Danio rerio: one gene and its partners. The protein of the gene in region 1 purifies or fractionates together with the protein of each later gene. This does not show direct contact. Links are inferred from orthologs where the notes say so. Each region holds a gene or a part of one and is shown in the gene's direction. Other genes may lie near its edges.

The links.
Region 2: the proteins of snrnp70 (region 1) and arglu1b purify together in Homo sapiens (affinity purification with mass spectrometry; 3 studies listed by BioGRID and IntAct, with this or other methods). This does not show direct contact. The link is inferred for Danio rerio from reciprocal best matches to the Homo sapiens genes SNRNP70 and ARGLU1.
Region 3: the proteins of snrnp70 (region 1) and strap purify together in Homo sapiens (affinity purification with mass spectrometry; 3 studies listed by BioGRID and IntAct, with this or other methods). This does not show direct contact. The link is inferred for Danio rerio from reciprocal best matches to the Homo sapiens genes SNRNP70 and STRAP.
Region 4: the proteins of snrnp70 (region 1) and tfip11 fractionate together in Homo sapiens (co-fractionation; 3 studies listed by BioGRID, with this or other methods). This does not show direct contact. The link is inferred for Danio rerio from reciprocal best matches to the Homo sapiens genes SNRNP70 and TFIP11.
Region 5: the proteins of snrnp70 (region 1) and prpf19 fractionate together in Homo sapiens (co-fractionation; 3 studies listed by BioGRID, with this or other methods). This does not show direct contact. The link is inferred for Danio rerio from reciprocal best matches to the Homo sapiens genes SNRNP70 and PRPF19.
Region 6: the proteins of snrnp70 (region 1) and snrpb2 purify together in Homo sapiens (affinity purification with mass spectrometry; 5 studies listed by BioGRID and IntAct, counting the BioPlex papers as one, with this or other methods). This does not show direct contact. The link is inferred for Danio rerio from reciprocal best matches to the Homo sapiens genes SNRNP70 and SNRPB2.
Region 7: the proteins of snrnp70 (region 1) and gemin2 purify together in Homo sapiens (affinity purification with mass spectrometry; 5 studies listed by BioGRID and IntAct, counting the BioPlex papers as one, with this or other methods). This does not show direct contact. The link is inferred for Danio rerio from reciprocal best matches to the Homo sapiens genes SNRNP70 and GEMIN2.

The regions. Positions count from the first base shown.
Region 1 is NC_133178.1:30,714,773-30,718,710, forward strand, and holds the start of snrnp70 (U1 small nuclear ribonucleoprotein 70 kDa), read left to right. Parts: upstream 1-1,138; 5' UTR 1,139-1,337; intron 1,338-1,851; 5' UTR 1,852-1,858; coding exon 1,859-2,005; intron 2,006-2,097; coding exon 2,098-2,160; intron 2,161-3,034; coding exon 3,035-3,089; intron 3,090-3,176; coding exon 3,177-3,241; intron 3,242-3,349; coding exon 3,350-3,412; intron 3,413-3,501; coding exon 3,502-3,583; intron 3,584-3,938. Other genes in the region: E3 ubiquitin-protein ligase RNF113A, read right to left, coding at 163-261, 346-422, 567-672. UniProt on the Homo sapiens protein: Component of the spliceosomal U1 snRNP, which is essential for recognition of the pre-mRNA 5' splice-site and the subsequent assembly of the spliceosome. SNRNP70 binds to the loop I region of U1-snRNA.
Region 2 is NC_133176.1:9,081,281-9,085,568, reverse strand, and holds the end of arglu1b (arginine and glutamate-rich protein 1-B), read left to right. Parts: intron 1-2,802; coding exon 2,803-2,967; 3' UTR 2,968-3,751; downstream 3,752-4,288. UniProt on the Homo sapiens protein: Dual function regulator of gene expression; regulator of transcription and modulator of alternative splicing. General coactivator of nuclear receptor-induced gene expression, including genes activated by the glucocorticoid receptor NR3C1.
Region 3 is NC_133179.1:17,464,541-17,468,400, reverse strand, and holds the end of strap (serine-threonine kinase receptor-associated protein), read left to right. Parts: coding exon 1-71; intron 72-188; coding exon 189-325; intron 326-457; coding exon 458-607; intron 608-2,546; coding exon 2,547-2,608; 3' UTR 2,609-3,237; downstream 3,238-3,860. Other genes in the region: tmpoa (thymopoietin a), read left to right, coding at 3,791-3,860. UniProt on the Homo sapiens protein: The SMN complex catalyzes the assembly of small nuclear ribonucleoproteins (snRNPs), the building blocks of the spliceosome, and thereby plays an important role in the splicing of cellular pre-mRNAs.
Region 4 is NC_133198.1:20,764,249-20,768,667, reverse strand, and holds the start of tfip11 (tuftelin-interacting protein 11), read left to right. Parts: upstream 1-1,592; 5' UTR 1,593-1,645; exon of another isoform or gene 1,646-1,738; intron 1,739-4,419. UniProt on the Homo sapiens protein: Involved in pre-mRNA splicing, specifically in spliceosome disassembly during late-stage splicing events. Intron turnover seems to proceed through reactions in two lariat-intron associated complexes termed Intron Large (IL) and Intron Small (IS).
Region 5 is NC_133189.1:18,665,307-18,668,946, forward strand, and holds part of prpf19 (pre-mRNA-processing factor 19), read left to right. Parts: intron 1-547; coding exon 548-689; intron 690-767; coding exon 768-841; intron 842-2,457; coding exon 2,458-2,523; intron 2,524-2,609; coding exon 2,610-2,651; intron 2,652-2,735; coding exon 2,736-2,810; intron 2,811-3,640. UniProt on the Homo sapiens protein: Ubiquitin-protein ligase which is a core component of several complexes mainly involved pre-mRNA splicing and DNA repair. Required for pre-mRNA splicing as component of the spliceosome.
Region 6 is NC_133176.1:55,030,632-55,034,830, reverse strand, and holds the start of snrpb2 (U2 small nuclear ribonucleoprotein B''), read left to right. Parts: upstream 1-1,384; 5' UTR 1,385-1,487; intron 1,488-1,680; 5' UTR 1,681-1,706; coding exon 1,707-1,770; intron 1,771-2,089; coding exon 2,090-2,262; exon of another isoform or gene 2,263-2,365; intron 2,366-4,199. UniProt on the Homo sapiens protein: Involved in pre-mRNA splicing as component of the spliceosome. Associated with sn-RNP U2, where it contributes to the binding of stem loop IV of U2 snRNA.
Region 7 is NC_133192.1:14,292,451-14,296,730, forward strand, and holds the start of gemin2 (gem-associated protein 2), read left to right. Parts: upstream 1-1,395; 5' UTR 1,396-1,505; coding exon 1,506-1,624; exon of another isoform or gene 1,625-1,645; intron 1,646-2,670; coding exon 2,671-2,752; intron 2,753-2,832; coding exon 2,833-2,922; intron 2,923-4,098; coding exon 4,099-4,158; intron 4,159-4,236; coding exon 4,237-4,280. UniProt on the Homo sapiens protein: The SMN complex catalyzes the assembly of small nuclear ribonucleoproteins (snRNPs), the building blocks of the spliceosome, and thereby plays an important role in the splicing of cellular pre-mRNAs.

The DNA.
Region 1 (3,938 bases):
CCTTTAATGTTTCAATGAGACAGCGCAAAAACTGTCAGACGTTAATAGAAATGTAAAGTCATACGTGGTCATGAATTATTAGGCACCATCAAGCGTTTATATTCATAATTTGCTGTAGCATAAATCATGAAGCTGTACAAATGTTGGGTCAGTCAGACTCACCGCTGAGCGAGTGGACTTGTAAGCGACAGTCACGCTCTTTTCTTCCTTCTCTTCTTCACTTTCACTCGATGAGACAGCTTCCCTCTCCACTTTCTTCGTCTATAAAACGAATAATAAATATAATAATGATGACATCAGTTTAACAGCGGCTAGTTACATAAAACACATGAAATACGGACATACTTTCTGAATCATGGGGTTCACAGCGGCAGATTTCTTCTTTCTGACCACTGCACTGCCCTCATCGCCGCTGCTTTTTTCTGATGATAAAGAAACAAAACACTGAACTGCAGACATGTATTGAGCATAAACATTAATTAAACAGACGGCTTGTTGTAGGGATTATAGTTTCTCAAGTCAAACTCGCTGTCGATTGAGACACTGAAGAAAGAAGCACAACGTACCTTTGTCGCTGTCACTTGCATTTCTTTTCCGTGCGGAAAATTTCTTGTTTGATTTCTTAAAAATAAATGTGCAGGTGGGTTTTTTCGGCTCCTCGGACTCCGCCATCTTTAACTACGTATAAAAACAAACGATGAAGTCATTTTTTGGTTACAGCGCCTCTTGTGTTTGGGAAGAAACGTAGAATGGGAATGGTTTACTGCTGTTGTATTTGATATGAATATATTCCCATTTAACAATTGATAATGTACATATCTTTACTATTATTATTAATCAGTAACTAGCAATATTCAGACAATATTTGGATGCATGCATTGAGCAAAATTAAGGATAAAGACGTTTTAAGGTATTTTATGGTGTACTTAAAGTAAAATTATGATTTAGAGTGAATTTTTTCCCATTATAAAGGTAAAGTCTAGTTAGGATACTGTGGATACGTACATCAACATAGCATAAGTTTTGTGACACTGTATAACAATAAATAATATTTTACAGTACAAATTCCACACTGGCCACGCCCCTATCGTGAATGTACCACTAGACGTAAATGTGTCGTGAAACACCGCAGCGGTTTACGGCCTCGCGCCATTTTAAGAAAGGAACGACTCGTTCAACTGGGTGAGAACACACGTTGGGTATTGTGTGGACCGAAATACACACAAAAATACCGAGTGAATTAAAGAAATTCATGCACGAAGGTCTTCCACAGAAACACGCAAGAGGATTTTGGCCCGAAAATCGGAGATTTCGTTGGAGCCGAATGAAAAACTGAGGTAATTGACTGCAGGAGGCCGTCCGTGGAAATGTAGGCGATCTCGGATATGATCATCATGAGAGAGTTGGTGAATTAGCAGAGCTGACCGTAACCACGACTGAGCTTTGCTTTATTTTTGTGTATTAAAGAGTGCACTGATATTAGTTATTAGATGCGTCTCTTTTTGTTGATGCTACACTAACGTGATCTGATGCTGAAGTTGTAGTTTGTTTAATCATTATGTGGAGAATAAAAGTGTTTGTTTGCACGAAGCTAACCGAGAAAGCTAAGACTGCTAGCAGCTAACTTCACGAGACTCGTTTAAGGGGTGTTTGTTTACTGATCCAGATCTATGTGAAGACGCTGAATTTTCAGTTTGAATCTGTTAGCATGATTTTGTCTGCTTATTTAAATCCACCTTATCTTAAATAACGTCTTATTTACCATTTTCACACAGTAACTGCTTAACTTGCATGAGGTGCTCCTAATTGTTGATTATTTTTTTTATCGTTTGTGTTTTTTCTCTCTTCCAGGTGAACAATGACTCAGTTTCTTCCGCCGAACCTGTTGGCATTGTTTGCCCCGCGGGACCCCATACCGTTCCTGCCTCAACTGGGAAAGCTTCCTCACGAGAAACACCACAACCAGCCCTACTGCGGAATTGCTCCTTTTATCCGGCATTTTGAGGTGCTTTTTGACTTGTTATTTTATGTAGAACGGTTTATTTATCGATTTCTTTGTTACATTGATGTATAACTGTTTTTTCTGCTGTTTATTAGGACCCCAGAGATGCCCCTCCACCCACAAGAGCAGAGACACGGGAGGAGAGACTGGAGAGGAAGGTGAGCGAGACTTGTCTGAATAGACTCTCTGTGGGGAGTTTACTAATGTTTTCTCCTGCTGAATTGCTTTTAGATTGACAGAGCTGCACTCAGTAGTTTTAGTGGGCATATAAGTACAGACAAGACGTGTTTGAAAAGCTTGTTGATACATGTCACATTGAGTTTAACCATAGGTCATCCTTGTCCCAAACTTTGCTTGAGACCACTGCTAACAAAATGTTTTTTTTAATTGAAGCAAAAAAAGTTAGAATATTTACTCTGCCTCCACTTGTTTTAAACCGGTTATATTTTGTGTCATCTGTCCAACACAAAAGTATTAATGTTTTGGAGAATATTAGAAACCACATGCCATTGATTCCTTGGTGTATGTATATATATTTTTTTTCACTGCAATGGATGTTAATCGTGACCATTTTTTGGTATGTTTCTTTTGAGTTCAACAAAAAAAGGAATGCGTTTCCACTGGAGGATGAAATAATTTACATTTAATGTGCACACGATTAACTTTCACTCTATTGTTGAAACTTGGCAATTCATTCACAAATCCCTTGTGTTCTGGACCGTTGAGTCTTGACAGCTATGAACACTTGATAATGCTGAAATATGTTGCATAGCCCTAAGTTTTTAGAAATCATTTGTCAACGCACCATAATCAAATTCTGAAAAATCGATGAAGGAACTTGATAGCAGTCAGCAATAGTAAGATATGCATTGCAGAAGCTTTTGTGTAAATGTCACATGCTCTATTAATCCAGTAATATGATGCAATAAATGACCAATAATAAGAATGTTATCCAATTATTTACATTTGTACAGTATTTAATGTAAAATTATGGTAACTAACTACTTGGTTATTTGTTCATTTCAAATCCAGAGAAGAGAAAAAATGGAGAGGAGGCAAGTTGTGGTTGAAGGAGAGCTGAAATTATGTAAGTGTCTTTAAAATAAAGGCTTTACAGTTGTAAATAAAGTCATTAAAATGTTCTATATTAACCTTATGACCTGTATCTCCACAGGGGACCCACATAATGACGCTAATGCCCAAGGAGATGCGTTTAAGACCCTGTTTGTGGCTCGAATTGTGAGTATTTTTTGGTCTCAAGCATAAGCTTGTCGGCTGACAAAAATCTAAATGTGTAGAGGTTGTTTCTTGAAGACAAATCTTACATGTTTTATTCTATTTATGCAGAATTATGATACCACAGAATCCAAACTGCGGCGAGAGTTTGAGGTCTATGGTCCTATCAAACGGGTAAATTGTGCTGAACGTGTATTATGCATATTAATCTTGGGTCAGTTTGTTTCCACTGTCTTATTCTTGTATGTATCTGCTATTATTAGATCTACATTGTGTACAACAAGAAAACTGGAAAACCAAGAGGCTATGCGTTCATTGAATACGAGCACGAGAGAGACATGCACTGTAAGTAACCAACATATCTTATTCTGCCTTCAGCCCCTTAAATGACCCCAAAGCAAGGTTGCACCAATGGTTTTTGTATTTCCAATAAGAGGCATTTAAGTCTTATCAAAACCCCTTATTAAACACCAAAGGAAGAGTCAGATGCAAAAAGCTCTTAATTGCATCTGATATATTTATAAATTGAGCATTTTTTGAAGCACAGTGGTTGAGGAATTTCACTATTGTCAAACAATAGATTCTTTTCGTTCCCTTAAATAAAATATCTGAAATGCTCATTTTAGAATACACTTTCAGAAGGCATACCTTTTGCATCTGAAGTCTTCGTATTTTGGTTGTACTCTATTTTATCTCTGCA
Region 2 (4,288 bases), on another chromosome or scaffold:
TTATACATCTAATAATAAAATAAGTGCAATTTATAATTAAAAAAATAGGCCACTGAATCATTAATTAAATTTTTCCAATTACAATTAATTTTATTTTTTGATAATAATTTAGTTGTAAAATGATAAATGGCAGCAAATATAATCAAAACCACTAGCAAATAATAATACTTCTATTACATTTAAAGTATATTATATATTTATTTATATATATATATATATATATATATATATATATATATATATATATATATATATATATATATATATATATACATATATATATATATATATATATATATATATATATATATATATATATATATATATACATATATATATATATATACATATATATATATACATATATATATATATACATGTATATACGTGTATATATATACGTGTATATATATATACATATATATATATATATATATATATATATATATATATATATATATATATATATATATATAGACATTTACAGTGTGTAGTGTTTGTATATATTATATATGTGTTTCTGTGTATGTATATGTAATTTTTTTAAGTTAAATAAGATAAAACCATGACATGAAATGAATTGAGTTAATTTTCCATATCCTTTTAAAGGACCATTCAATATTGTGGATATTTTAACAAAAAATCTGCAATATTACACGATTATATAATTTGTAATCATTTATTCCACAAAAAAGTTAATCTGATTAAATCTATTTTAAAATGTAATATAATCTAATTACAAGTATAGATTTATTTTTGTTAATCTGGCTACGTAATCCAGATTACATATAATCTACTCTGCACTGAGCACAAATTAGTGTCATGGATGTGATTTAAGAATTCCTGTATGAAGTGAGTAGTACTGTAAAAGTTTTAAGCACCTTGAAGCCTTTTTAATTAGCACTCCATTGGCATCTTACAGTCTTCTCATATAGAATGAATGGCCTCTGCACTGTATGGACTACTTCCAGTATGTTTTATTTTGTGGAGTTTTTCCTTCTCAATTGCACTTTAAACCAAAAGAAGAACAGTGTTTACTTCTGGTCCTGATGAATCTTACAAATCAGACGTTATATAGGAGATCTTCTCAATTCAGAGCTATAAAGGTCAAGATTGTCCTGTCAACATGTGAAAGTGAGCCGACAGATGCGGTCGCTTCTAGACAGCTTTCACAAAATTCGGTTTGTCATGAATGTCCTACACATCACAGATGATGCAAGATTCAAAATGAAACGAACTGTAAGTAAAACGCTCATGTACGTTATATTAAACATCACAGAGAACAGCTTGAAGCTTTTAATCAAAGCGTGGGAGTAGTGATTATAAACGCATTTCTTAATATATTATGACAATGTCCTGTGAGAATTCTTGCGTAAATTGTCTTGGTTTTTGTATTAATTTGTTCTGCTGCAAAATTGTTAGCATTCCAAAACATTGCAATGCTTGTAAGCTTTATAAACAGTTACTGTACATAACTGTCTGCTTGTTAGGGGTATTGACATTCACATGAGAACACACTTTTGTGCTATTAAAGCAATTTCATCTTAAATGCTCTTGCATAGAATAAAGGCTTGGGCTTTAGGTGATATTGGTAAAACCGACCCGATGCCATTGCTGAAATTGAGAAATGGTAATTGGCGACATGCTGTAATTGGTGGACCAGTCACAACAAACCTAACCTTTTCAGACCAATCAGAGCAGTGTAGTATTTTACAAAAGTGGGGTTTAGATAGACCATATCCTTGAAAGAACCATTTCAGAGACTGTGGATGGATGTAAAATTATTTGTTGGAGACCTTAGATATATTTTTGTTTGCTTTTACATTACTGGTCAAAAAGGAAATAAATAGAGAACACAGTGCAATATTTGTAATATGTATTAGGACTGAATAGTTTTAAGCCCAAAACAGCAAAAATGTGCTAATTTTAACAGATTGTTGAGTGTGTGTGTGTATATATATATATATATATATATATATATATATATAGTGCTCAGCATATATAGGTACACACCCCACCAATCTCTCATTTAAATTAATATTTTCTATTGGATGCTTTACAATATTATAATTGTGCATATACATTAATCAGAACTAAAGCCGAATCTGGAGCTAATCCAACAAAATAACTTATATTAATAGTTCAAAAATTAGTAGACCAAATTTATATGTTCTAATTTATATGAAAAATATTAAATACAATTTTAAAAAATAGCAAAAAAATCATATAAATATATACAGTTTTGTTGAAATGTTGTAGGTTGTAGTTTTTGTTTGCAATATTTAGCATGAGTTAAATGAAATGTATTTTCTTCCTAAAGAAAAGGAATAAATAAAGAAATTGTCATTTCTAAAGATGTTCTTTGACTAAAATAATTATAATACCTTGCTAAGGTAGGGTTTTTCTTTATTTTAGTGGAAGTATTATACAGTATGAGAGACCTACTTTAGGGTTGTCTTTACATTGTAATACCTTAAATAAAAGCTAAGATGTATTTTGTTTCTTTTAAAGTTTTCAGCTCCTATGTTCTCAAAATCATTCCACATAAATCCAGATTAAATCTATAATCCCTCCCCCCCCAAAAAAGAAGTCCACATATTCTGTCGTGCCCTGCTTGTAGCCTATTTATTTTTTTTAATTAAGATTTGTTTCCAATCTTCTACTTCCCAGACCTCTGATTTCATTCGCACAGAAATCTGCATTATAATTGGGTACATTCTATTTGCAAAGGTATCAACACTGGGTTTCGGTACCTCTAGATTACCACACTAACAAACTCCTCTTTTTTTCACTGTCTTACAGGCAGAGGACCAGCTACGAATAGTTGAAGAGCAAAGAAAAATACACGAGGAGCGTATGAAGCTGGAGCAAGAGCGACAGAAACAGCAGAAAGAAGAACAGAAGATGATTTTGGGGAAAGGGAAGTCAAGGCCTAAACTTTCTTTTTCTTTAAAGGCTTCTGAGTGACAAAAACAACGTGGCCAGGATTTCTCCAGACTTTCTCCAGACCACTCTCCGTGTGAGGCGATAAGTTCTCCGTAGGTCTCATGTGGTATTTCAAATTCTCAGAACAATGGGAACAATCATTTTGTCAAATACCCTTAAGTTTTTTTCTCCCAGGTTTTAACTGTCTGTTTTGTATTGCTGACTCTTGTATAGATAACCTCCACTTGTCCTCCATGTAGCGTCTGCAACCACGTTTGGTGCACGACACGAGTAGAGTGAAAAAGAGCTGGCCTGGCCTGTTCTTTCATCCAAGTGTACAATATGAATTCCAGTTTCACTAATTTAAGACCACAACTGATTTTCCTTACCGAAAATTTGAAGTACTTTTATTTTTTTTAATAGTTTATTCATAGTATAATGGAAGTAGAATGAATTTGGCAGGGAAACAGCTTGAACTTGAAGTCCATCCCTCTATTTTGATTAGCACAGATCTGATTTAAAGGTAACCAGTCCGAGCAAGAAGCATCATAAAACAACAGTAACCTCCTTTTACCATTTTTACCTTCACTTTAATACACTCATACATACTTTCAAGTAATGTAGACTCGAGAGGTAAAGAGATGCTGTAAGAAAGGGTACCTGGTTGTTGCATGTCAATGAGCTGCGTTCTATGTTAGTGATGAAATGCTTTTATAGAGGCGATTGAGTGAAAGATTGCTGATTGGCCGGAGTTTGTGTTTGTGGTTAAATATTTGACCCAGTTATCAAGGATATGTCAAGAATCTCCAATAAATCCATGAATGTGTCCTGTTTCTGATACTTGCTTGCATATTTAATATTAAATATGTTTGCATGATTGGATAAACCCAAATTAAATTGGAATTAATTATTAATGAAAAATGTGTTTTTCCTGACACAAACCAAATTTTAGTTTGATTAAGCTCAAGTATTAAAACAAATAGAAATTAGAGACGATGAATGGCACAAAAACTGACAAGCAAAAGCTGAAGTCTGCAAGACATGTGACCGACAATAACTAAGCGTGTTAACATTTTGATTTTTGGATGTCACCATCACCTAATTCTTTCAATCTTCAACCTAATTAATAGTTTGTTTGACACCCCTTGTTTTGACCAATACACAATTGATTTCGCAGACCAGACGATGAAAGTGCAAACGCATCACACCTTTACACCTCGACATTCAATTATCCCTTACCTGTTAGTTTTCCCCATTGATTCCTGTTCAAACACGCAAAGCACAATAAACAAAAGTTGTTCTAACAAATGGTTCATTGATTTCTTCCCCGAAATATTCATGTCAGGCTTTTATTTTTGCTTTT
Region 3 (3,860 bases), on another chromosome or scaffold:
GAGTACATTCCTGATGGGGAGACTCTCGTCATCACATACGGGAGAACCATCGCTTTCTATAATGCCCACAGGTTTCTATCTTTCATATCGTGCAAATATTACCTTGAACGTCAAGTTGGAACAAAAAACATGTTCTGTACTGTACAGAAAACTGATAGCGCCAGACTGATATTTTGTGTTATCTTCAGTTTGGACCTGATTAAGACCGTAGACGCCCCTGCTTCCATTCACTCCGCTTCCCTGCATCCTGATAAAGACTTCTTTGTGGCTGGAGGAGATGATTTCAAGCTTTACAAATATGACTACACCACCAAAGAGGAAATGGGTATGAATATAGTTGATAATCATGTTCATATACCTAAAGCACATGGAAAAAAAAGGTTTATTATGGATTGGCTCATGACCAAGCATATGTTTGTTCATGCTTGACAATATGATTGATTTGTCTGCCATTCAGAGTCATATAAGGGTCACTTCGGGCCTGTGCACTGTGTGCGGTTTAGTCCTGATGGAGAGCTGTATGCCAGTGGCTCGGAGGATGGCACTCTGCGTCTGTGGCAGACAGCTGTAGGCAAAACATACGGCCTTTGGAAATGTGTCCTGCCTGGTGAGTTTACATAGATATTGCTTCTAGTATACTAAAGCTGGCAATGCACACTCAAAGTTAGTATTTATGGCTGCACCATAATTGAAATAAAATTTGTGCCAACCATTTTATAATATAAAATCTTCAGAAGGGTTTACTGCTGTTGTCAACTTAAGACAAGATAATAATTAATATGTTATTGTTATAATCATTATCAAGATTCTGATATTTATAGCTAATGTTCATAGTCAAATAATCACAAAATATTAACTCTAAAGCAGAGTAAACATGAAGCGTTTGTGTAGCATTTTAGAGAAAGATCTATATTCAATCTGTATGATTATAGTGAATAGCAAATATGAATGCTTATTTAACAAATTGTAGTGTACATAGTTGTGAATGCTATCCTTTTGATAATCGATATTACCAGATTGTACTTGCTAGATGTCAAATAGGTCGCTCATTCGTAATTGGAGAAGATAAACAAGTATATTTTTTAAACACATTAATGCATAAGTCCATACACTCCAAATTAAAATGAAATTACAACACTTAAATGTGTATTTACTGTTATTTTAATCAAAATATTGTTTTTGAAGACCGTAAATAGTTAAATTGCTCAATTGAAACCATTTATTATGATGTAATACTATTTTCCCATGAACATAACTGTTGCTTCTGAATAGACATTACATCATGTAATAAATCATTATTTCCTTCAAATATTTCAGCAGGATTGGAAAATCTGGGTATCCAAGGGGTATTAAAAAGTCTTAACATTTGAAAACGAAAATGTAGGCCTTAAAAAGAAAAAAATTCACTGAAATATGGCGTTGTGTGTCTTAAATACTTTTTAAACATGTCTTAATTTTCCTTTGTGCATGTGAAGCTTCCCAATCACTACAACCAACAATCTAAAAAAAACATGTTTAACAGAAGTTATGTTGATTAAGTAATTGATGGATTCTCTTCACCAATATGGTTTAATTATCTTCCTTGCATCCTTACAATAACATTTGTTTTAAAGTTCTGCGTATATGTATGCATAAGTTTAGTTGATATTACCTTATTTGACTGTTTAGTTTTTGAAAAGAACGTTTTGTTCTCTTAAGCATTCTGAAACATAATTAACACTTATATATTTAATATTTTGAGAGATTTCTAGGAAGAATAATCATTGAAATATTGAGAACAAAACACTAAAATAAGTTTTAGGAATGTTTCGACAATGCTCTGATTAAAATGAAGCTTTATTTCTGAATTTTCTCTCAGCATTCAAAATGTCCTTTTTTAACAGTTTTGGAAACTACAATTTATATATAACCATGTTTTGACACTATTTAAAAAAATGTGGCTAAGAAATAACCACATTTCAATTTTATCGGGGCATGTACAAATATAATCCACTGGCCATTACAAAAAAATTATTAGGGTTTTGCCCTGTAAAAGTCTAAAATTTCATTCATAAAGGTCTTAAAAGTCTTAAATTTGTCTTTGTGAAATCTGCAGTAAATATGCACATTCATTTCCTAAATGCCTTAAGTATTCAAACACTGTTCGTTTAATACACCTCTCTCGATATCTAACCAAAGGAAAAGCATATACAATATATTTTAATATTTAAATAAAATGTAAGTAGTTAATTTCAGTGCTAAATCCAGTAGTACGCTAGAACTATCAGTAAATTTTGAAACGTTTATTAAATGTCCCTGCATTCACTTCAGAGGTAAGCTGATAAGTAGCATATTTTGCTTCTCATTTGTATGAGGAAATGCTCTCTTCAGCTTTCAATCAGCTCTACAATGCAATGTGTACAATACAATAAATATTCATTTATGCTTAAAATACACTCTAAATTATTTTACCAGTGATTATTGTTTACCCTCTCATGAGAACTCCCTTATAGTTAGGCATAAACCTATTATTGTATCCTATGGTAAAACCTCACATTGTCTTACAGAGGAGCTGTCATCAGAGAACTCTGAAGCGCTTTACTGCCCTCCAGCAGAGATCAAGGCCTGAGTCAGGAAAAAGAGAGAGACAACGAGGCAAAGGAGGAAAGATCACGGGACAGGGAGAGGTCAGGGGACGGGACGGGTCAAGAAACCACACCCCAGCAGAGTGCTGTGCCACCACCCTTCTTCACTAGAGACAGACCGCGCTGCCAAGCATGACTTTTAAACGTGAAGATGAAACCCACACGTACGCATTGTGGAAAATCAGGAGACGGCGGTAGAGCTGAGAGTGCTAGTGCTAATGCTAATCCTCCAGCTGCCTGCTCTTTCTTTGATAGCCATGAAGCATCAGTCAGCTCCTTGGTATAAAAGCGGTCGGTTTCTGCAGCACTGTGATCACTTTGGTTGAGATTTACTTTTGTTTTGTTTTATTTTGGTGTTATAATGTGCTTTCAGTACAATTTGTTTGTTATCGCAAGAGCTCAGTGTTCAGTTTGAAAACATCTCTCAGCAGAAGTGCTTTTGAGGAACTTGCTATTCAAGTGTTTATCAATAGTAGTGTGAACTTGTGGTAAATGTTTTCCATGAGTGCTCGGGAAATTTGTAAAACTTTAAAGTGACTTAAGTTCTTTAATCGTTTTGTCTTTGGTTGCAACATATGTTGTATCATTTGGCCAATAAAATGTTGTACCTTTATCATCTGGAATATTTCTCTTTATTTGTGTATGTCTAGATCAGTCACATATGAGTTGTATCTTAAGGTGATACAGTTCACCAAAAAATGACAATTCTGTCTCAAAATCAGCTTAGAATTGGACATCTTTTCAAAATGTCTTGTTTTAAACCCAAAGGAAGATATTTTGAAGAATGGTGGAAACCAGTATGCATTGAATTTCCTATTTGCCTCCAAAATTCTTTAAAATACATTATATTGTATTAATTCTTTAGATGAATTGTCACTTTTATATCGTATTGTTTACTTCCTCAATGAAGCAGCTGTTAAGTAGTTTAATTTTTAGTCTTATTCTTAATTATTGTTCTTTCTACTCGTTATGCGAAGTGAATCTCCTATAAACAAGAGGTCGAACTCGTCTATTTATCGCCAGTGATTTTAAATAGTCCACCCGCCAATCAGAAGGCTCCTTTCTGCGGCGCGCATCCAATAGGGGTCTCTCTCCTAAGGTGGTCACTGATCCCATAAAAGAAATCAGCCCCAGGCAGCGATAGTGTCCTGCTGGAACCAACAGACATGTCGGAATTTCTGGAAGACCCGTCCGTGCTTACTAAAGACAAGCTTAAAAGTGCATTGCTGGCCAATA
Region 4 (4,419 bases), on another chromosome or scaffold:
TTTATCATAGCAGAGTGGCTAAATCCTGTGGGTTTTCATGAATTTGTCATTTAACATGCATGTATACTGTTTACCTCAATCTACAGTTAACTACATTTCTGAGACAAAAAATGCAATCCTATTATATTTTGAACCCGTGATACTAAAGCCTTCATTTGTAGAACTTGGCGGCACTGCTCTCAAAAGTTAGTACAGAGCCCTGCCTTTAAACGGACTAGTAATTTGTGTTTTTTTATTCAGGGAGTAGCTCAAGCACATTAACCTAAAACCTCTAGGAGGAGAAAAACTGACTCAACTGTATCCCCACCCTACACCACTCTGACTAGAGAAACTTGTTATGCGAAATCTCTACAACAGCTGCGAGAAGACCCTAAAAGAAACCTGAAGAAAGGCTAAAACAGGTGCAAAAACACCCTGAATAGAATAAGCAACATTTTGATAATAACCAGTACAATAAACAATATTTCCAGGACCACCTAGACAACCAGTGTTTAGTATCAGACATGCACTTTTAAAAGCAGTACTAACCCGTCTCAGCCTGGGGCTGCTGCATCTCCTGCTCTGTAACAGGGACAGTTTCTGTGGCTTCGCCTGGCATTCTGGACTAAAACAGAAATGAGAAACAATACATTATAAGCTTTACAAAGTCTGCATGAAGGTTTAGACATGCGTTAGTCAGTGCTTTGTGTTAATGAGGCTTTTTCTATTGAAACAGCAGCACTCTAGGCCTCTTCCTGTAGGCCTCTGCTGGCTGTCAGCTGTCCCACTACCGGCTCAGTTAAACACTGCTGTTGTCTCAAAGTATTGAGCTACATGATAACATTTCACAAGGCCACCGAACAGAATTTGTGAGCTTTATCAATTGCAAACAGGCAAACTGAACAAATAAGGCTTATAACGTCCCCAAACAGTTCCACACACTGTTCATGTGTGCGCGTGCACTGTGTTGCACATTTCACGTGTGTATCTTAACAGAGGAGCTCTGACACGTTACTGCTGAATGAAAGAACCTCATTACACAAATTACAATAAAACTTTTTTAAAGAAATGAGTTTATAATCCTTTATAATGTAACGTTAGGTTATACTGTTGACACAGCATGCGTTTTTAGAAACGTTACATGTTTAGGCAGCGAAGTTAACTATCCAGCCAGTGTTTATTGTCGCACGTCACGCAACAACCTTTCGTACGATTAAATTACAGATTTCTCACAATATATCGCTATAGTTGTATATAGTGCAACTTTTTGCAGGGTTAACATTTTCGTTAGACACAAAGCCCACGGCTGAAGTATAGCGAGCGGTGGTGCGTCTCGCTCCCCCATTTTGAACAGTCAGCCAGTTGTAATCATCAACATATTTCCTCAATAAGCCAAGCAAATTTACAAATCTTTACCATTCCAAACACAGCTACACTAAAGCATCAGCATAAGCTACAAATTATGTATTGAATTGGCTAAAGCAACGTTGGATGACAATAGATTTTACGCAGGAGTACTCACTAGTTCAGGGCACAGGATCCAAGATGGCTGTGAGAGAGGGTTTCTGACCTCTGCGTCACTCTGATGTCACTGCTCTGCTTCCGGTCCCAACAGGAAGTCACTGTCGGATAAGCTGAAGTCTATAACAAGAAACCACATTTTCAGGTAATTCTGTCTACACACTGTTATTTTTAAACACAATAGTTTATTTCAGAGTTGACCATGACGGAATATTGACAATACCTGATTTAAGGGAAGGTATGTGTCTTTGTTTACAACAGAGTGGCATTGCTAAGCTAACATGATTTTTCTGGGAAACGTTTGCTTCACGCACTCTAAGTTACTAATCAGTTTTTGTCATCCGAGAACAGGGTCCGTGTATCATCCGTTCATTTGATTATTCCTTTTATTACGGAAAACGAAACATCAGAAAAACGATGAATATTTCGTTTTTCTGTTTATTCTGTAGGCAGAAAAAACGGAAACTCATCTGTTATTCTGCTTATTAACTTAAAACGAAATATTAAAACAAACACAAAACCAAAACGAAATAATGAGTCAAAAAATGGTCCGTGTACATTTTGTTCATTTTTTTTCCAGTTTCAAACGGAATAAAGGAAATGGAGAAAACTGCCGTTTTTCCGTTTTTCTTTTGCTCACGAGAAAACGAAAAAACAAGATTTTGGCTGGATTTTCGTTTTTTGGTTTAGGGTAGGAAAACGGATAAACGACTTTAAAATTCATTTTACACATGTAGGCGGTGCTGAAACGCCCACTTTCCTCTAATTGGTCAACCAAATCTGCGCTCGTGACGTCACCCTCAAAATAAAAGCCTTACACGCAGGCTTTTAATTATTATTATTTAATTATATATATATTAACTAAGTTTACAGATTCTATCATTTGAACCACACACATTTAGCAGGCTTACATTCATTGCGTATGTATAAATTAAATAAAAACGTAAATCAGCAGTATTCTTAGACATTTGTCATTAAAATAAGGTCATAGTTCACTGCCAAGCTTCTTGCTGCTGTGCACCTGATGCAGAGCAAAGATAGCCATTTCCGAGCAGCACCTGGTTTACATGATTGTTTCAGAGCTATTGTAGGCCTAAATAATAGCCTACTCTGTATAAAATAATAATTTATTATTATTATTATTATTATTATTATTATTATTATTATTATTATTAGGCCTATTATTAGCAGTATTGTTATTATTATTATTTACTTAGTTATTTAATGGTTGTAAGAACACAATGGACCCTGCATGGGGCTATAATAAATGGTACCTGTTTCTATTGGATTTTCTCCTATTTTAATTTAATATGTGCCTTTAGCCTATTGTAAATATTTATTTGATAATTAATACTTTTTTATTGCAACGTCAAAGTAGGCCTGTCTTATTATTATTATTTTTTGTTATTATTTTGTCGTTGTTGTTGTTATTATTATTGTAGCAGGGACATAGCCACAGGTGTGGCAGAGTGTGCTGGTGCCACCCAAAGTGGCATCTTGCACCTGAAAATAGATGCCTTCGCACTCAAGCACGCGCAAAAAAACTTGCACAGGCAAAAGTAATGATGAATGTGTTGAAGGAAAAAAAAAACATTCTAATTATTTGTTAATTAAATAGTGCAACATTATTCTCAGTCAGTGTAGGCTGAAAAAATTAAGATCGCCAGCATTTCAAGGGTGGTTTTATTTTTAGTTCATTGCTGTGACGCGCTATATTTCACTAAGGCTACATGAGACTGCGCATCTTGCTTATTTTCTCTATTTTACATACAGAACATATCATACAGTCCAGGTTCTACCGTTCTAGTGAGTGTGGGGCATTGCTTTACGGTGGTAAAGTGGATTATTTCTTGGCAAATTCATAATGATTCACTTTGTTTAGTAATAAATTTCATAGTTATAAAATAACTACATTTCAAGAATATGTTAACACTTTCAACTATTTAGGATTATTTATTGCATCAAAAGTAATTTCAAAGTAACATTAAATGTACGTATAAACTGCTTAATTTGTGTGTGTAAACACCTAAGATGCAAAAAGCTTATTTAGACCAGAATAGGCCTACTAAATGCAACGGTCAATGTATGTAAACTTATGACCTAAAATGTCTTAAATGACTAAATGTAAGTCTTTTTAAGTTTTTAAATAATTTAAGTTTAACATAAATGATTTAAACTTTAAACTTCAAATTAACAGAGTATGGCAAATAAATTGTTTATTAAATGGAGGTCAGGTGTCTATCTTAATTATAATTATTAAATATTATGACACTACAGTGGTGTATTGGAGAGTACGCACCTTTTAATTAATTAATTTTAAATAAGTGGTTTATCCTAAATAAAATGCAATGGGATCGGTGTGCAATGAATAGTTTGAAAACCCCTGGTTCAGACTAGACGAGCTAGCTGTCTGTGCGCTGCGCTAATAACTTGGCATTTGCTCTTTTCGGTGCTGCCAGATGCATTTATAGTGCATAAAAATAAAAAAGGTAATTCGGTAAAGCGCGCGATGCGCGCAGAAATAAGCGCACTATATGCATATGTCGAATTAAGTTCTCTTTTTCTTTAATCAAGACTTTTCCATTCGAGGAATTACAGTTATTAATAGCTTAATCCTTATAAACGATCAGTTTATAAAATACACAATTTACGGATCAAGCCTAATGAAGAATAAGAAGAATATGCAACGCATTATGATCCTTGAATGATCAGAGCGCATTTATATAAACTATATATTTTATATATTCCATAAATATTAAAAAACATTATACATTTAAAGTAATAAAACATTATATGTTATAAAATCTAAACTATTATTTAGGCTACAGGCTGTTCAGCGCGTGCGTCAAAGAAAAGACATGACACAATCTCTATAAAAACTAGTTGTTTATTTACAATATCTAAAGGGATATAAAACAT
Region 5 (3,640 bases), on another chromosome or scaffold:
GATATTGATTTTAGGCCTAATTGCCTTTTGGGATGATGTAAAAATGACACATTCAGATGTAACATCAGGATTTGATACAATCATGTACCTTATCTGAAGATATTGTTTATATAAATGTTAAATTGATCGAGTGTATATACATTTTAGTCAAAAGTTTAACATGAATTTGATCTTTTGGCGTGCGCACTACAAATGCAAAGAATCTCCCTTGCACTTTTAGATACTTATATGATATATCTTCGTGCATCAAAATCTACAAGCAGTAAAAATGCCTACCTGTTCCCAAAACAAACCATCTGGCAGAGTCTGTACCATAGACTGGAGAAACAAAATAATCCTGTACCACTTCACTGGGATTTTAGAATGATACGTCCAGTTATTTATGAAATAATTCAACAAAGCCTGCTTATTCTGTGTGCAATATGTGCAATTATACATGCATCATTCAACGTATGAAAAACTTTTCCATTTAATATTTGGTGATTGTTATAAAAGAATGATTATATTTTAGATTAACACAGTTTTTTTCTCTCTCTCTCTCTTTCAGGACGCCGTGATGCTGCACAGTTTTACACTGAGGCAGCAGTTGCAGACAACACGACAAGAGCTTTCTCATGCTCTCTACCAGCATGATGCAGCCTGCAGAGTCATTGCTCGTCTTACAAAAGAGGTCACTGCTGCCAGAGAAGGTAAGAGTGGCATGATTGCTTTCAGGATGAGATGTTGACTGGAATTGTGCCATCACTGACACATTGTTCTGCTTGCAGCTTTGGCTACCCTCAAACCCCAGGCTGGACTGGTCGCTCCACAGGCCGCTCCTGCTTCTCAGCCCGCTGCTGTGGTCAGTAATTTCTTTAGATATTCATAATGTAGCGTGAAAAAAAAAATCTTAATTCACTCATGAACCATAGGTACTTTGAGGTTTTTCAAATAGAAATGGCCACTATTTTTAATGTTATTAGACAGCAATTATAATAATTTTTAAGGTAAAATTTTGTAGCAAGAGTAAACCTTAAAAAACGGTTTTAGATTGTTATTTTTTTGCTTTTTTATTATTTTAGAAATGTGATATTTATAAAGTGTTTAAATGTTTTTGGTAACTGCCTTACCATTTTTATTGAATTTCATTAAATGTAAAAAAGAGGTTGACGATTTTAGATTTTTGAAAGTCGACTTTTATATTATCAAAGTTGAGTCAACTAGTAGCTTTTAGCGTCATCAAAAAAAAACATAAGATGCAAATGTTTTGCAACATGCCACAATTTGCGATTTATTTGCAGGACAGAATATGTTTCCATGCTGTTGGAACGCTCATAACGCGTTGCAAGAACAATGCAACATTACACCAATGACACCATTTTAGTGCAAAACAAATACACTGTCGACTCTTTCGTTATTAATGTAACATTAGCACCCGGACTAAATTTTACTGCGAAATAAATGCAGTTAACACATTGATCACTGCACATTCTAGTAAGAATGTAACAATAACAGATATTTTTGTGCAGAAATAATGCAGCACACAGATTCATGTGACGTTATACATAACGCAGAAAGGACAGGCTATAACATTAAGCCATATTACACTGTCGGAGTCCTAATCAGACTCATATTTTATAAATATTACATTATATTTAATGTATTTTATATTTTATCGCTATGATCATGCGCACTAGAAAGCTGCTCAAAATCCTGCTTAAGTCAGGCGTTTTTTGTGGTCACTGGCTCATTTTAGTTACAGAAGTCTGCTTGCTGTACATCTTCACCAGGTTCACCAATGTTGATGATGTTTACACCTACACAAGCTGTGAAGTTTATCACACCTTTGCGGCTGTGCACTTCACATTTTTTCACAGGTTTGTAGAGGGCAGCAGACAATCACATTACTTTTCAGGGTTGCTTAAACCTAACTGGCACCGATTTAAAGTTCAATACAAGTTCACGTGAATCTTTGACGCTGACATAAAAAATACAGTTAAAAAAATGTATTTTAAATAATCGGAGGGCAGTTTCATTCAGTGACAACATCCGTGCACTCGTGGTTCCACCTTAGTGTGTAAAGCTGCATGTAGTTCTGGTCAAACAACGTGATCTGCACAGTGAGACTAGTCGAAGTTTATCAAAAAGCATCACGGCAGAGCATTAAAGTCAACTAGTTGATTAGTCGACTAGTCAGTGCAACCTCTAATATATATATTAAAAAAAAATTTCTCAAGATTCTGAAAAAAAAATACTTTTAGATTATAATCTCTTTCAAAATGAAAGATGCAGGAAAAAAAAGTTATTTCATATAATGCAGGAATTTATTTCAAAAGTTGAGAATTAATTCTGAGATGAATTGTGAATCCGATATTTATTTATTTTATGGTTTTATGTTCAATTTTAAATGTAAAATAATTCAACCCCCTCATAGCCATAGTACAATGGAGTTAAATATATAATTTTCTGTTTTCATAGGGTGCTGGTGGTGAGGCCATGGAGGTCAGTGAACAGGTTGGAATGACTCCGGAGATCATACAGAAGGTTTGTGAATCCACAAGTATATTCAGCAGTGTTCTCATTGCTCACACATGTACAAAGGGATTCAAAGACTTTTTCTTACATTACAGCTTCAAGACAAGGCCACTGTTCTGACCACCGAGAGAAAGAAGGTAAACGTTTAATTAGCAGTTTGTGGTCACTGTTATTTGATGTGCTTTTCAATGTCTGTAACCTTTTACGTGTTTGTTTTTCAGAGAGGAAAGACCGTGCCAGAAGAGCTGGTCAGAGCAGAAGATCTCAGCAAGTATCGCCAAGTGGGATCCCATGCTGTGAGTATCCAATTTTACACAGTGTGTATGCGTGCATATTTTTGTTTAACATATGTTGTGTAGGCCTGATGTCCACAAAGGTTATATAAGCTGGATGTTTTTTTTCTATATCATAAGAAAACCGCTTCTAAAAAGTGCTACATTTGGTACATTTATTGTTAAAAAAGGTTTAGTTTTTTTCAGAGGTCAATATATTAGGCTCATTAAAAAAATCCATTATGTTTATTTAAGCTGATTTTATACCATTATGGTAGGATTAGTGCTCAAAAAATAAACTATGAAATCCAGCCTGAAATAGGATCAAAATCCAATTTTTTTTTTAAAACTCAAGAAATGATGAGATTGTATGCAGAAGATGACGTTCCGGACACAAAAAAACTCGCACTGAACACTTGCTAAAGGAGAAAAACCCCTAAAATGTCTATATTGCAACAGAAACCAAGCTGTTAAAAATATTCTTGTGCAATGCCCTATTTTTATTGTTATCCGACAACAATTATTGTCTGGAGGGACTTGAAATGTAGTATTTAATTTTAAAATTGTTAAATTTTCATCAAAACTAAATCCTTAAAAAAAAGTTTTAGATTTTTATCTTATGTATTCTCATTATTACTTTGTATTTTTATCTTCTGTATTTATTGCTTTCGATGACTTTTAATTGTTAGAATATTTTTATAATTATAGAAAAGTATTATTTTTTAAAATGTGGTAAACCTGATCTTTTTTTGCCATGATATAGCCATAAAAGCTGATATGGCAATAAATTCAAAATTCTCTCTTTCCATATGTCCTGGTAAAAAAAAATTGCCAAGTAAGCATAAAATTGTTCT
Region 6 (4,199 bases), on another chromosome or scaffold:
TTCTTTTTGTTATTAATTTGCATTAGAGACTTTTCCAAAGTTTCCATTTCCATTAAAAATAAATTACATTTTGGTATACACTTCGCAAACTTCTGTTTATGAAAACATTTTTATTTCTAAAGGCGGATTTCTTAACTTAATATTTTCATTATATTTACTGAACATTTCCAATCAAATGCTTTTCAAATCTTAAAATAGGATATTCATGTTGTAGCATAAAATATGTTAAACAAATAAATAAACGAAAAGAAAGTAACAAAAGGACAAGAGCGGGTATACAGCATGACAATTACCATAGGACTTTAGTTTTTGCAGTATATTTACAGTTATGGTTGCTTTACGACTTGCAAGACCTTTAAGAGTTCCTTTAAGTGTAAATTAGCCTTAAAATGGAGATATTAGGGCGTCACGGTGGCACAGTGGGTAGTATGATCGCCTCACAGTAAGAAGGTCGCTGGTTCGAGCCTCGGCTGGGTCAGTTGGAAAGTCTGTGTGGCATTTACATCTTGCTCCAGTTCCCTCACAAGTCCAAAGACATGCGGTACAGGTGAATTGGATAAGCTAAATTGTCCGAAGTGTATGTGTGTGAATGAGAGTGTATGAATGTTTCCCTGTGATGGGTTGCAGCTGGAAGGGCATCCGCTGTGTAAAACATGCTGGATAAGTTGGCGGTTCATTCCGCTGTGGCAACCTCAGAATAATAAAGGGACTAAGCGAAAAGAAAATGAATGAATGAATGAGAGATTTTAGGCTTCCTCTCTGTCCATTTACACTTGTGTATATGAAACTTACCAAATATTATCAAAAGTTCAACATAAACAGGATATTTTTTATCTATATCTTTTTTGTCAACATCTCTTTTCTGTATCCTCATTCTATCACCACTAAATAGACATTCCACATCAATCCAGAAATATTGAACATAGCCTACATACAATAAAAAAAAAACATTGCATAAACATCCCTTTTACAAAATGCTAAAGGTGGAATAATTTGTTGCTAACTGATGCTATGACGTCTTTGTGTTATTATAGCATCATTACATAATCCCAACTCAAAGCAACTTTTTATAATATACAAAATAATGAGTTTTCACAACTTGACTGGCCATCTCAGCATTAAAAAACATTTTATCCTGCATATGTTTTAATGTTTACTGCAACCCAGTACTGGGAAATGTATTAGCAGTTAATGCTATCTAAATGAACAACAGTTATACACGCTAACAACAAGGTAACTTCAGCTAATGAACAATCAAATGGCCAATCACAAATATTGATAAACTTGATCTTAGGTGCTTTTTGAATTCAAAAATGTTGCTAGGGTAGTATATGAAAAGTTGCTAAACCTAGCAACGAAAAGTCCTAGCAATAGTGTTAGTATCACTCCGCGACAACAGGTGGCGCAACAAGCGAAACCCGATTCACAACAATAAAGGAAACGAAGAAGAAGCGAAGCGCCAGTTTCCGCTTAAATCCAGAAGTGTGGTGAGTCCGTTCATTCACTTTTATTGTGATTTTTAAATCTATCAATAAGTTGTTTCACGTTTATAATTTTATAGAGCTGCACTCAGTGTCATTTCAGGCATCTCAGAAGGCTTAAATGGGAGACACTGCGAGTGTTTTGTGTTTGTAGTTCCTCGTTGTTTATTGTACTGGATCTCTTATGTGTTTACTGCAGGGACATTTTACCTCAGTTTATTAATCATGGACATCCGGCCGAATCACACCATCTACATCAACAATGTTAATGATAAGATCAAGAAAGAAGGTAAAGTCTTTCGTTTGTACTGTAACTTGCGTCTATATGTGGAAAAGCTTTGACATTTTTGTTTGTCTTTGCTCATTGAAGTATGTTTGAGTTAATTAGTAAAGGGCTTTTCACAGTAATAATTGCTCCACATCAGTTTTAAAGTTAAGATTGGGGTAAAGTTGCTTTTATATTATCTCCTTCATCATATAAATCCAGAAAAAAATGGTTTGCAATTTCTAAATGAGGAAATGTATTAAACTATTCAAATCAAACTAATCAAAGTACATTTCTCACGGTCAATTAAATGGTGCTAATGTTGTGTTAATCGTTTCTACAGAGCTGAAGAGGTCACTGTACGCCTTATTCTCGCAGTTCGGCCAGATTATGGACATCGTGGCTCTGAAGACCATGAGGATGAGGGGTCAGGCGTTTGTGATCTTCAAGGAGCTTTCAGCAGCCACCAATGCCCTCAGACAGCTTCAGGGATTCCCCTTCTACAATAAACCCATGGTCAGTGCCACAGCTCCTATTCCTATCAAGGAACTACACCTGAAATGATTATCACTTCAGAAAATGAAGCAGTTTGGGGCTTTTGATTGACTTTAAAGAGATAGTTCACCCAAAAATTTGAAATTGAGTAAATGGGGAGTAAATTTTCATTTTTGGGTGAACTATTCTATTGACTTTTTGTTTTATTTATTAATTTGATTAAAGATATAGTTTTTCTGCCTTTTTGCCTTATTAAGTAGATAGGACAGTACTATAGACAGGAAGTAAAGTGGAAGAGAGACAGGGTAGGGACGAGAAATGTCCTCGAGCTGGGATTCGAACTCAGGATGCCTTGAAGTGCTACTGCACCATATGTCAGAGCGCTAACCACTAGGCTATTCCGCCGATGACTTTGTGTTATTATTCGATTTTTCAAATTAGAAGTTCATCTAGTGTTGATTTAGTCATTTTGGGTTAGTCATTTAGTTAATTCTATATGCCATGTTTTACATATATCTTTTTCTGATAATCATTACAGATGATGTGTGAAGAAACAAAAGCTGTTTTATAAGAAAAGCGATTTGTGAAAAATGTATTATACAAGTATGAACGCAAGTCATACAAAGTCTACATATATTATGTTTTATTGTACTTTTTATTGATCAATTGTGCATGACGTTATTGCTGTGGCGTGAAATTCAGATGGAGTGCATGATTTACAAATTTTGGATATATTTGTGAAACAAACAAAACTTACTTTAAATGTGGTTAATCATTTTACAGCATTAATACATGTATAATTAGTAATTTTAATAATATTTATACACTACATTTTAAAAAACAGATACCTCGAACAACATTACACTTGCGCAAAATCCAAGCAAACAATAACTTATTACGCAATTACAATGTGCTGCAATGATTTTTCCATCTTGTTTGTTATAGTACATCCTATGAACATGGTCCTCACACTACTACTACTGCTTTTTTTTATTTTTTATTAAATTTAAATTTTCAAGCAATAGAGATACAACAACAACAAACAAATGAACAGAACAGGGCGGAGAAAATAAGTTGATGATGATGATGATGATAATAATAATAATAGTTAAATAAAAAGTATTTTAAAAGAGATCTTGCATATTCATGCACCACAAACCTTCACAAGATCTGACCTCATTAAATAAACCGTCTGATGAGTATGAAGGTTATGTTTAAACCCATATGTAACAAAAATGGATCCCACCTCTCATGAAACAAAACATCTTTGCCGTTTAAAACACAAGTTAAGTAGTCCAGTGGTACATATTCAAGTTTTACCCTGTGCCATGAAGACTTTGTAGGAGTTTTACCCGTTATCCAGTTCAGGAGAATACATTTTCTTGCACAAAATATCAGGAACTTGCAAAGTGTTTTTTAATTTCTATTTTAATGAATTTCATATTAATCTCTTCGTATAAACCAAACAGCATATGCTTTGGGTCGCAACCAATATTAATAGATAAAATACCATAAATTTCTTGTTCAATCATGGCACAGAACTGTTGAATTTGCCTGCAAAGCCAGAAACAATGAACAAGGTCTTCTTTCTCTGTTTTACATTTCAGACACATTGGTGACAACTCCTCTTTAACCTCTTAAAGAGCCCATATTATACATGAAATAGGGTCATATCTTGGTTGTAAGGGTCTCCAACAACAGTTTAATATGCATGCAAGGTCAAAAAAACACTTTCGTGGTCTTATAATCTGCATTTATTTTTATCTAATTATCCCAGCGACTCCTGTATGAATCGTCCAGTGATTCATTTGTTCCCAAACCCCTCCTTAGCGCGAAGCTAATCTGCTCTGATTGGACCGATGACAGCCTGTTGCGATTGGTCGACTGCCTTCAGTCAGAGAGTGAAATGCCAAACAGCTAATCAGCAATATAAAAGTAATCACAGTTCATGCACGCTC
Region 7 (4,280 bases), on another chromosome or scaffold:
ACGGCAACTGATCCAGCTGAGGCTCGAACCAGCGACCTTCTTGCTGTGAGGCGACAGCACTACCTACTGCTCCACTGCGTTGCCTGTTTCAAACTTATAAGAAAAATAAATTAATTGAAGGAGAGGGTTATAGACTTTAATTTTGCCTTGTGTATGTGAAACGTCCCAAGAAAAATAATCAACTTCAAAGCATTACCGAGTGTATCATGGCCAGTTTTCAGTTTAAAAAAGAATCATGCATTCATCCAAGTTAATTATATATAATTTTATTATAAACTGAGTAAAAAATTAACCCTGAAACCAGTTTCCAAAAGTCGTCAATAAATGTACAAGCACAAAATAGATGTAGGAGACTTTCAGGTTTAAAACATTCTGATGAAATGTCTTTTTAAAATGTATTAATGAACAGATGGCAGGGATACCTGTGTAATATTTTCTTTATCTTTTTTAAATACATTTACTGTATTACAGAAAGATACATTTGGTGCACATCATTTACAATAATAATCATTAGATTATTTACAATGGTGCCAATAAAGAATGAAAAAGAAGAAAAAAGAAAGAGGAACAACCAACAGAAATCAAACAAAAAACAAAGAAATATCAATAGGCCATCTGATCTGAGGGTAGATATATAGATTTAAAAAAAATTGAAAGTGAAGAGGGCAAAATAAGAAGCAGCAATTTAGAGATTTAATTGATTATAAAGGTCGTGCAAATGGTATGCTTTGAGTACTTTCTTGTTAAGTGAATCTGGAACTGTAAGTAATTTTTAATCTCTTGTAAATGCTAGAAATGTTAGCTTGCAACTTGACATTGACAATATACATTTATGAACATAAAATCTGCATAAAGAAAAAGGTTTATTTTAAAGTAGACATTAAACTTTGTTATAAAAAACACCAAAAATGACTTTTGTAGTCACAGAAAAATGCTGTAAAGTAATATTTGGACAATTGCATGACCAAAATAAGCGAGGAGTTTCAGCGTTAATCTGACAAAAGGAGATATTTGTATCAAAGTATGATCCAAATCTTTTCTTTAAGACATTTTTGATAGGATAAATGTTATGTAATAATTTAAAAGATATTTCCTTTACCTTTTTAGTAAGGAAAAACTTGATGTATGGACCATATATTTCCCCAGTTTAAATAATCAAAAAGACCGTTTCAATGTGAGATAGCAGAAGGGGTAGAGTTTTCAAAAAACACAGCTCTTATTTGATAATTTTTCCTTTTTATTTAACCTTATTGGGGAGTAAATAAAAAATATTCTACTTGTACAATATTTCTCCACCATTTTATGTTGTTACCCTTCACATTTCTCCTAAACAACAGATGTCGCTACACATCTTTCCATCTGTAAGCGAGTGAATAAAAGAACCGTCGCGTCTATTGATCGTCATCCTCGTGTCCAATGTTTTCAAAATGGAGAGGTTGACATGCACGTAATAGTGAGCATGTTGATTTATTTTGATGGTCGTGCATAAAAAATAAGGCAAAGAGATGAAGTCAGACGCCGAGGAGTTGATGCCCAGACTCCTGCCAGTGGATTCCTGCGACACAGAGGAATATACTCTTACCGAGCCGCCTAGAAACCCTCAGGAATATCTCAGATTTGTCCAGTAAGTCTTTCGGCTATTGAGGTAAAGTTGGTTTAATATTCGCACATTCAGACATTCTCATCAATAATACAGTTTTAGAAAAGTATTATTTGCAAATTGTAAAGAAGGAGATCATATTAGCTGCCAATGACTACTAAAGTACAACATTATTCAGTCAATTAAACAGTACTTATGTTGTTAAACCCTACTGGAAAAAAAAAACAGCTTAAACCAGCCTAGGCTGGTTGGCTGGTTTTAGCTGGTTGACCAGGCTTGTTTGAGAGGGGTTATGGCCATTTGCAGGCTGGTTTCCAGTCATTTCCAGCCTGGTCTTAGCTGGGCAGGCTGGGAGATGACCAGCTAAAAACACACACACACACACACACACACACACACACACACACACACACACACACACACACACACACACTCACAGAGAGAGCGCTGTGGGGGAAATCAGAGCACCTAGAGGAAACCCACACCAACACGGGGAGAACATTAAAGCTCCACGCAGAAATGCCTTATGGCCCAGCCAGGACTCGAACCAGTGACCTTCTTGCTGTAAGGTGACAGTGGTTACCACTAAGCCACCGTGCCGCCCGTCAAGATTGTGGCTCTATGCTGGTTTCATACCTAGAACCTCATAGTTTGTTACCCAATGCTTAGCACGTTGAACTAATTGATCAAATTGGTAAAACTAGTGATCCGAAGGACAGTGGCACTAACAAAATATGATTTGGGGCTACACTTTAATGCTTTTGGCTAATAAATTACTATTACACAGAATAACTATTGTAAATATTGTTTGTAAAAAATGTTATTTTACACATTCTAATGCAACAGGAAAAACAAAACTACTTTAAAGCTGTATTAGCTTTTTCTTGTTGATGAAACTATGCTTGACTTTGACTCTTGTTCGATGAACATTATAGTAGTCAGCATTTTACAAGTGGATTGAAAACGCTTTTCGAAATTGTTCTAAGACAAGAGTGGGTGTTGTTCAATGGTTTTCGGGCAACTTTAATAAAAAGACCCTGTTTAAATATCGACTACTGTATATTTTACAGGAGGGAAGCATCTCTGTGTCCAGATGTTGTTGTGGCACAAATTGATCCAAAGAAGCTGAAGAAACAGTCAGTGAATGTGTCTGTAAGTGGGAAAAGTGAACTGAATAATCTGTTATAAATTCTGTAATGTGTAAAATAACTGTGCCATTATTTTTGCCTCAGATCACAGGTTGTCTTGCTGCACCTGAGGGTTTTTCACCCAGCTTTAAATGGCAGCAGCAACAAGTCAGCAGATTTTCAGAAGTCAGACAGGTGTTCAATATTAACCACATTAGTTTCTTTAAAGGGATAGTTCACACACAAAAAATGAATATTTACTCATTATTTATGAATGTTACTATTATTCAAGTGGTTCCAAATTTTTTCAAGTTTATTTTTTCTGTTGAGCAAATCCATTCATTCATTTTCTGCCGCTTTTCCGGGCCGGGTCGCTGGAGCAGCAGTCTTAGGAGACAACCCCAGATTTCCCTCTCCCGAGACAGTTCCTCCAGCTCCTCCGGGGGGGATCCCGAGGCGTTCCAAGGCCAGCCAAGAGACATAGTCCCTCTAGCGTGTCATGGGTCTTCCATGAGGCATCCTCCTGGTGGGACATGCCTGGAACACCTCCCTAGGTAGGCGTCCAGGAGTCATCCCAAACAGATGCCTGAACCACCTCAGCTGAGTTCTCTCGATGTGGAGGAGCAGCGGCTCTACTCAGAGCTCCTCCCGGGTGACAGAGCTCCTAACCCTATCCATAAGAGTGCGCCCTGCCACCCTTCGAAGGAAACTCATTTCGGCCACTTGTAACCGTGATCTTGTCCTTTCTGTCATGACCCAAAGCTCATGACCATAGGTGAGAGTAGGAACGTAGATTGACCGGTAAATCGAAAGCTTTGCCTTTCGGCTCAGCTCCTGTTGAGCACAAAAGAAGATATTATAAAGAATGTTAGAAACCTGACTTCCATAGTAAAAAAAAACAAATATTATGGAAGTCAATGGTTACTGCTTTCCAACATTTTTCAGAATAGATTCTTTTGTGTTTAGCAGATGAAAAAAAAAACAGGTTTTACAGGTTTTCAGCTTTGTTCAAAATAAAGGATGAGTAAATGATGACAACTTTCATTTAATATTTCATTCTGTCATCATTTACTCACCCTTTATTTTGAAGAAAGCTGAAAACCTGTAACTATTGACTTAGTAGTAGTATTTAGAATTTGTTGTTACTACAGTATTTCTTTTTCCTAATATGGAAGTCAGTGGTTACAGGTTTTCAACACTCTTCAAAATGCCTCTCAACAGAGGAAAGAAATTCATAAAGGTTGATAACCACTTGAGGGGGAGTAAATACAGAGTAAATGTTCTTTTTGGTTGAACTATCCCTTTAAGTACTTTTAGACTTTTTAGAATTTGTTTTTGTAATTTGTTTCATCCATATATTTCTTGTTTCAGAGTGTGAACAAGCATCGTCAGCATTGGAAAGCTCAGTTTTTGGATGATAATGTTGTCATGGTAGGACTTTATTTATTATTGGGCTTAAATTAAATCTGAAAAAAGCTGCTTACACTGGAGACTTCTTTTTCCTTTCAGCCCAAAACTGAGGATGAGGATGGATGGAAAAGGTTTTGTTTTGG